2 linked regions of the Arabidopsis thaliana genome follow. The protein of the gene in region 1 interacts with the protein of each later gene in a pairwise test. Each region holds a gene or a part of one and is shown in the gene's direction. Other genes may lie near its edges.

The links.
Region 2: the proteins of SIM (region 1) and CPR5 come close enough for resonance energy transfer, tested with the Arabidopsis thaliana proteins (one study listed by BioGRID).

The regions. Positions count from the first base shown.
Region 1 is NC_003076.8:1,265,999-1,269,249, reverse strand, and holds SIM (cyclin-dependent protein kinase inhibitor), read left to right. Parts: upstream 1-1,833; 5' UTR 1,834-1,892; coding exon of another isoform or gene 1,893-1,903; 5' UTR 1,904-1,973; coding exon 1,974-2,357; 3' UTR 2,358-2,625; downstream 2,626-3,251. Other genes in the region: AT5G04475 (uncharacterized protein), read right to left, coding at 1,893-1,903, 1,993-2,230. UniProt on the Arabidopsis thaliana protein: Cyclin-dependent protein kinase (CDK) inhibitor that functions as a repressor of mitosis in the endoreduplication cell cycle. Inhibits the kinase activity of CYCD3-1/CDKA-1, CYCD2-1/CDKA-1 and CYCB1-1/CDKB1-1 complexes in a dose dependent manner.
Region 2 is NC_003076.8:25,945,132-25,950,283, reverse strand, and holds CPR5 (CPR5 protein), read left to right. Parts: upstream 1-1,886; 5' UTR 1,887-1,962; coding exon 1,963-2,349; intron 2,350-2,909; coding exon 2,910-2,966; intron 2,967-3,071; coding exon 3,072-3,107; intron 3,108-3,184; coding exon 3,185-4,399; 3' UTR 4,400-4,601; downstream 4,602-5,152. Other genes in the region: ATH13 (ABC2 homolog 13), read right to left, coding at 14-134, 222-388, 473-608, 695-1,168; CIP8 (COP1-interacting protein 8), read left to right, coding at 4,942-5,152.

The DNA.
Region 1 (3,251 bases):
TATAAATATTAAAGTAAAAATGAAAAAAAAAAAAAAAAAAAAAAAGACGGTGAGAGACTGAGAAAAAGATCAGTGAGATTGTTTCTTTTTCTGTACCTTTTTTTTTTGGGCTTTCACTGTCTGATAATGGCAGTCGCATCCATCCACAGATCAACCCTACATCACACTACATGCCTCCTCTAAATTCGACACGTGGCATTTCTTTAGATGATAGATTCTCTGTACACTAAATTACCTTAATACCTTTGTAACTAAAGTCTGGATATACACTGCATACATCATGTATAAGCTGACTTCTAGATTCAAATTTAACTATATAGTTGTTTTCTTGAAATATGATTATTGGCATGAGGAGTCTGTTGTAAGTAAATTAAAAAAAAACATGATTAAAACGAACGTGTAGATGTCGTGCGGATAAAAGTTAATATCATAGTCAATAGTATCATTAAAAGATATACCAATGGAATCTTACTTAATAAAATTATGCTACTTTCTCTGCAATGGAATCTTGGTTAATTTAAAAGAGAATAAATAAGATTAAACCGACTGCAATTATATCCCAGATCGTAGTTATAAACATATTTTAACATAATTTTGTATAATTTGACAAAATATGTATATATGTTAAATATGCATGTAATTGATACATCATGCATGTACAAAAACTCTAAAGTCTATACACATGACATGTCTCTAGTTTCCTTAGCGGTACACGACATAAATTCTAACCAACCTCTACGTTTAGATCTAGATTAAAAACTTTGAGGTAAAATTTGAATCTCTTTATATATCTGCCTCATTTTTTATATGATTTTCATTTTTCATTAATATAAACTATTTTTTTATATAAATATAAACTATCTATTATGTACTTCAACTAAACATATGCATGTTACTGGTTGATTATTTTTTCTAAACATATGCATGTTGCTACTTTTTTTTTATTTTGAACAAATGCATGTTACTACTTTAACCAAACAAATTTGCATGTAAACAGGATACCAAAAATAATATTTTGATTTCTTTTTATATCCTTCTAAAAACTAAATTATATGCGTGCATGTTAAGTCTACATTCGGATTGATAGAAGTTTGATATTTTTTAAAAAAAATATGTTCTTTGAATATTTTTGTTAAAGTAAATTAATTCTATATAGGTTCCCTCTTCCTTGATTTGATTCTTCTTTTTTAAGTGGATGTAACTCTCAATCTAAAAATATGAATATATACCCTCTTTTCTACATTTTCTTTTCTTTTATTTCATTTTGGAAAGATGACTTTTCTATCTTTCGGTATATATATAGATGCATATACTGTTTTCTCTACAGTAGAAAACAACTGAATTTTATCTTAAAAACTTATATTCTTTGCTTCCTCTTTTTTTTTTTTTTTTTGTCTAAAATATTCTTTGCTTCCTCTATTGAATTTTCTTTACTGTCTAGCTTTTTAAGCTTCATGTAACACACGTTTTTTTTATTATTGGTTCGTTAATAAAACATAACCCAATATATAAAAGATACAATTTCTTTTTACTGACATGAAAAATAGGCACTATGAATTCCTTACTTATTTCAGTAAATTTTTCGTTGTTTAAATATGCATGTAAGAAATTCCATTACATCACTATTTCCTCAAAATATATGTTTTCATTATTTTTAAAAGATTGTAAGGAAGCTTTCACTAATAGTAATGGATTAACTTGGCATGTGGCTTACTTTTATCTATCAAATGTAAATGAAGAGAAGTAGCAGTAGTGTGGATTTATTTCTATCATCGCTTATCTTTCTAATTATATTAAAGATAAACACATATACAACCAAAAAGGCATGTATGTAAAGACAGAAGCACATATATATAAGAAACCCACAAGTCCACTTCTCTAAGAAGATTTGTTCAGGCACACGCTAAAACACACAAACAAAAAAACAACTCTTCAAGAACATATACATTTAATATTTATATAAACAAAAAAGAATGGATCTTGATTTAATACAAGATCTGCCCATCTTGAATTTCCCACCAGCCATCAAGATCCGAGCCAACACCAACAGAGATGATGACGGCGGCGGCTGCACCACTCCCACTTCTTCCGACCACAAGATTCCTCCCACCACAGCCACCACTCCTCCTCCTCCACCGCAGAAACCCCGTCCACCTTCCACACCGTCGTCTCTCGGCATCAGATCTTGCAAGAGAAAGCTTATGACGTCATTGTCCAAGTATGAGATCATCGTCAACAAAGATGAGATCGAGCGGTTCTTCTCCTCTGTTTACAACCAAACGATGGCGTCATCCACCACGACGGCTATCACGGTGGCCAAGCGGCGAAGAAGTTTCCGTTCTTGTTCACGAAGATGATCAATAATTGGACGTTTCATTAAAGGTTCCATAATTTCGAATAGCTTTTTCGATTTTTATTTATTTTTATGTAATGTTTTTATCAACTTTACACGTCGACCCACTCTATAAATATACATGTGCGATCGATCGATGGAATCTTTTTTTCTTTACTAAAATTTGCTAGCTGTTTTGATAACGAATGACCAAATTCCAGTAGTTTTATTGACATCGTAAATATATTTCCAGCGAGAGGCACATGCACAAGTATGTATATCATCTTTTGGATAAAAGAAAAAACCTATATATATCGACTGATGAAAGTTGTGAAACTGAACAATGAAATCCTATAGCATTTACTTTATTTAGTGGCCAAAAAGTACATTTTCATCATTAGCTGATCGATGTACTTTCTTAATAAGGATATATGAATCTCTTGAATTGATCAATAGTTTGAATTATGAAATTTTGTGTCATGGGTTATGATGATAACTATTAATTATATAAAAGTAACAATTTCAAAACACTGAGATATCACGAACAAAAGGAGAGAAAATGAGTTGCCTTTGCAAGCAATTATTTTTGTCGGCCACGATATATTTCTATTATGTGTTACCATGTTGCGCATAATTATGGCTTCCGATCCAATTAACATAAGCATAATTATGATGGTAGCTAGTAAGAAAATTAAAACAAAATATAATCAATATGGCACCATCTTTAAGGTTATGAAAAGTTAGAAAGGTAATTATATTCAAAGTTTTGAAAATAAGTTAATCAGGTTCAAAAAAAGAAGAAGAAGTAGTTAGTCAGGTTACAACAAAGTAATAAAGTTCAAAAGAATGATAATTAACGGATGGTTTAGGTGTTGATGTGATTTGGACCATTTGGTTGATGAGATTATGTAAATAGTTG
Region 2 (5,152 bases), about 25 Mb from region 1:
CAAAGACGTTTACCAAGACTAGCTGCAGCTATAGGTTCATAATCAAAACGGTCGAAAATGTCCTCAACAGAACCTCCAAGCTCCTCTTCAACAATGGATAAAGCTGTAGCAGAAGGGAAAGGAGGAACTTGATCCTGCAAAGCATAAGATCATAAAACTTAAAAAAGAAGAGCCTCACAGGCCACAAGTACAAATTCAAATAGAATAAAAAGAAATCAAACCTGAAGTTCTGACAATTGATCAACATACTCTTGAGGAAGAATATCCACTCTAGTAGAGAACTGTTGCCCAATTTTGATAAATGTAGGACCTAATCTCAAAATGTTTTCTTTCAACCACTTAGCCAAAACCTTCCTTCTTAAAACCTTCTTCTCTTCAGTCATTCCCCCTTATACACATGATTTTTCAAGAATTTAGACAAAATGAGAATCGTCCTAATCCTAGACGTAAGCAAACAAAAACAAGTATCAACCTTTATAAGAGAACTTCTTATTGCTTAACCAAGTCCTGAAAATAAACTGTACAACAAAACCCCAAATCTCCAATGTTCTTTGAATAGTTGAGTAAGTCTTGAATCTATTCCATCGACCACCAGGTGTAACAGAAACCTGTAAAACAATATTAAAGTAGCAAACTTTCAAGGAATTGAATCATTAAACAAAACGATATTGATTAAAAGTACATTACTTTATACCTCAACTTGTTTTTGTTGAGTGTTGTTCTTAAACCAAGCATCCTCTTGACCAATATCTTCTACTCTCTTCTTCCTCACTTCTTCTTTTCTCTTCTTTGTCACTTCCTCCGTTTCCACCGTTACACTTCCGTTCACATACTTCACCAAACTACCGTTACCGTTCAAACGAGCACTTCCGTTAAAATCTCCGTTGACGGATTTTCTCGCAGAGCCGTTACCGTTTAAACGTGCACTTCCGTTGTAATCACCGTTGATCTTCACTGCATTATCACGATCTTCAACAGCGACATTATCGTCTTTAGAAGCTCTGATTAATCTCGTACGAATCCGGAGATTGTGATTGTAGCTTAATCGGTTTCTGGGTAAGAAGATCCCGGCGATTGAAACGGAACGAGTGATTGTTGGAGATTGTCTTGAGTTGAAATTGATGTTTGGTAAAAGCAGAGACGACGATGAAGAAGAAGAAGTCGCCATTGATGGTAATACTTCGGAAGAGAGATCTCAAGTTAAACCCTAGTTTCTCATGGATTATTTGCGTACAAGAGATTTTGAAGAAGAAGAAGAAGAAGAAGGTGAAGACTTGTTGTTTGTTGGCACTTTGCAGTGAGAGGTTTTTTGAGGTTCATGACGAACCACAGAGAATGTTAAAAAAAAAAATTATGATAAAATAAAAGGGGTGGATATGAAAAGGACACGTGGCATAAGATGAGATTAGTGAAGGAGATGTTCTTGTGTTTTGATTGGTTGTGTTAAGACACCTCATCGTGTTATTTATCGGAGCCACAAACATTGTGCGATTTTTTTTATTGTTCCTTTTTCCAAACACTTTTATGGTCCATCTTCAAACCAAACTGATTGGTTCGGTCCTAAACTCGACTACTTGGTATGTTAATCTGGTCCTAAGCTATATGTATGACTTTTAGTTCAATTAAGTACTGAACCGATCCTATTCATTGAACAGAAAGCACCTAGAAACATCAAATTATCGCTAAAAATCGAGTAAACATATTATTACCTATTTAATTGACATTAACATATACATTGTATAATTTGAAGAATTCGTTGAACTTACAAGTTAATTCAGATATTTGGTCAAGTATTTTTCCTATATTAAGCTAATTATGACGAATTTTTAAAAATACAAATTAAATCAGAGGAAAAAGTTGGAAATTCGAAACTTTTCACTAGTCACGAAGCGACCAAAGTCTTACAACTTAAATACTTTTCTCAAAGTTGCAAATTTACCCCATAAGTTATATTTTAAGGCTATGGAAGCCCTCCTCCTCCCTCCTTCGCCGGAACCCCAAAATCAAATCACCAATCCGGCGAATTCAAAGCCAAATCATCAATCTGGTGACGTACATAAAGATGAGACGATGATGATGAAGAAGAAGAAGGATACGAATCCATCGAATTTGGAAAAGAGAAAACTCAAGGGAAAGAAGAAAGAGATTATGGACAACGACGAAGCTTCTTCGTCCTATTGTTCTACATCTTCTACCTCTAATTCAAATTCTACTAAAAGGGTTACGAGAGTGGTTCATAGATTACGAAACCCTATGCGGTTAGGTATGGCTCGACGAAGCGTTGGTGAACGACAAGCTGAAAAATTGGCGAAGCCTCTGGGCTTTTCACTTGCCGCTTTTGCTAATATGGTTCGATCAATTTCCAAACTTTGATCTTTATTGCATCACATAACTGTTTTGATACGAAATTGGCTTTGCTGGTACGGGTTGTTCCTATAGTTGACCTTGCGTGAATACTAGGTTTTGGTTGTGTTGAAAGTTTTGATCTTTAGATAGTATTAAATACAAAGTCTTTCAATTTAGGCTTTGTTGATTCAAAACTGGACAGAGGAGAGGATCTGAATCAGAGTCAAAAGGATTGAATCTGAATTTTCTTCTCTCAGTACTTGCGTGAATTCTTCACCCTGAATCGAAGAGAGGATCTTCTCCTCAAATTATAATCAGAGTCAATCAATAGAAGCTGAAGTTCTTCTTGGGGGTCTCTATGATCGAGCTTCAATGTAACATTGCAAATTTATATTGTCTTCTCTCTCACTTGCCTTAAAGCTTGAGCCTTTCTAGTTTCTACTCGGATTTGTAGTTCTGATTGTGATTTCACCAAATTTCATCCTACCTAGCCGCCAAAGTCATTGACTTGCATATGCTCTGTAGTTCTTACTCTGTTTCTACTCTGTTTTATTGTTCTCTAGGTTATTGCGAGAAAGAATGCCGCAGGTCAGAATGTTTATGTTGATGATCTTGTTGAGGTAAGTAGTATGAACTTCAAATGATTTCTTCTCAGTTTCTGTTCAATCTTTCTTTTGCCATCGTTTTGGTAGTGATACAAGAACTTCATTGATTATGCTCTCCAGATCTTTGCTACTCTTGTCGAAGAATCATTAGCCAATGTAAGCTAAAATCCCCCTCTATGTTTTCCGCATTTTTATATTTATAGACTTTCTGATTCATAATGTTGTGGTTACAGGTTTATGGTAATAAGCTTGGTTCCTTTGCGACCAACTTTGAGCAAACATTCAGCAGTACTCTAAAGATCCTTAAATTGACCAATGAATGTGCAAATCCACATCAGTCAAACAATAATGATGGTGGGAGTTGTAATTTAGATCGCTCTACCATAGACGGATGCTCAGACACCGAGCTATTTGAGAGGGAGACTTCATCTGCTACGTCTGCTTATGAAGTGATGCAAGGCAGTGCAACAGCAACCTCTTTGATGAATGAGCTTGCCCTTTTCGAAGAGACTCTACAACTCTCTTGTGTCCCTCCTAGAAGTTCAGCAATGGCTTTGACCACAGACGAAAGGTTTTTAAAAGAGCAAACACGAGCAAACGACCTAAAGACCGTGGAGATTGGTCTTCAAATAAGAGAGTTAAGGTGCAAAGAGACGGCGCTAGGATTAAAATTTGAATCAAACAACCTGGGGAAAGCGGCGCTAGAGTTGGATGTTTCGAAAGCTGCATTCAGAGCGGAGAAATTCAAAACCGAATTAGAAGATACAAGAAAAGAAGAGATGGTCACAAGAATCATGGATTGGCTCCTCGTAAGTGTCTTCAGCATGTTGGCTTCTATGGTACTTGGCGTTTACAATTTTTCAATAAAGAGAATCGAGGATGCTACCTCAGTATGCGACCAATCCGAGGAGAAAAGTTCGTCGTGGTGGGTTCCTAAACAAGTTTCATCGATTAACTCAGGCTTCAACACCTTCATCTGCCGGGTTCGAGTTTGGGTGCAGATATTTTTCGGTGTGTTAATGATCATTGTCTTCACTTACTTTCTAAACAAACGATCATCAGGTACGAAGCAGACAATGCCGATAAGTTTCATCGTTCTTTTCCTCGGTATATTTTGCGGTGTATCGGGTAAATTGTGTGTGGACACATTGGGCGGTGATGGCAAACTCTGGCTAATAGTTTGGGAAGTGTTTTGCCTTTTGCAATTCGTTGCAAATGTCTTCACATTGGCTTTGTATGGTCTAATGTTCGGTCCTATAAACGTGACTCAAGAGACCAGATCGAACCGTTGTAACAGTATGTTTCCATATTGGGCAAGGCGCAGTGTCGTGTATGTGGTGATTCTGTTTGTTCTTCCAGTCATAAACGGTCTTTTGCCATTTGCAACATTTGGTGAATGGAGAGACTTCGCTATGTATCACCTTCATGGTGGGTCTGACTATGCTTGAGACGAGGAGGCCATCTTTGTATTGTAATTTATTGTAACGATTTGGGTTTTTTAATCTTATTTTATTTTATGGGTGCTGTTGAAACAATTGTATCGCTATTACAAAGTTATGTATTCGAGTTATATGTTTGTATTGTTGTCAAAAGAAATTAAAATTATGCTTTTCGATATGACAAAATTTCATGGGTCAAATGGTACTTTATCTTATCAAGTTTTTGGATAAAAGTGCAAGTCAGTTTTGATTTGGAAGCTGGTTTAAATTGGATTGAACAATTTGATTTTTATGTTTGACAGCAATTGAACAGTTTGATTAAATTGTAAGTATTATGAATTTATGATGATGGTGATATCATATATAGAAGAAAATATTATGATATTGTGGGTGGGTCAAGTGGGTAAATGAGCAGGATTCTCTAATGTCTTAAAAATTCGATAATAATAATACAGAGAGACCTTTTTCTTTTATTTTCTCCATCCTCTTAATCGGCTTATCGGATCCGAATCCGGACCCGAAAGCCTGAAAACCCGACGATTAATTGCACGATGTCCGATGCTCCGTCGTCTTCCCCGGATGCCACGGCGTCGCACTGGTGCTATCACTGCAACAAACGCGTCGTCGTTGAAACCTTAGATGACTTTGTCGTGTGCTGCGAATGTAACAAAGGTTTCGTCGAGTCAATTCAACCGACTCCCGCCGCTTATTCATCGCCGGCGCCACCGCAGCCACTTTCCCCAGATCTGAATGTAGAAGACT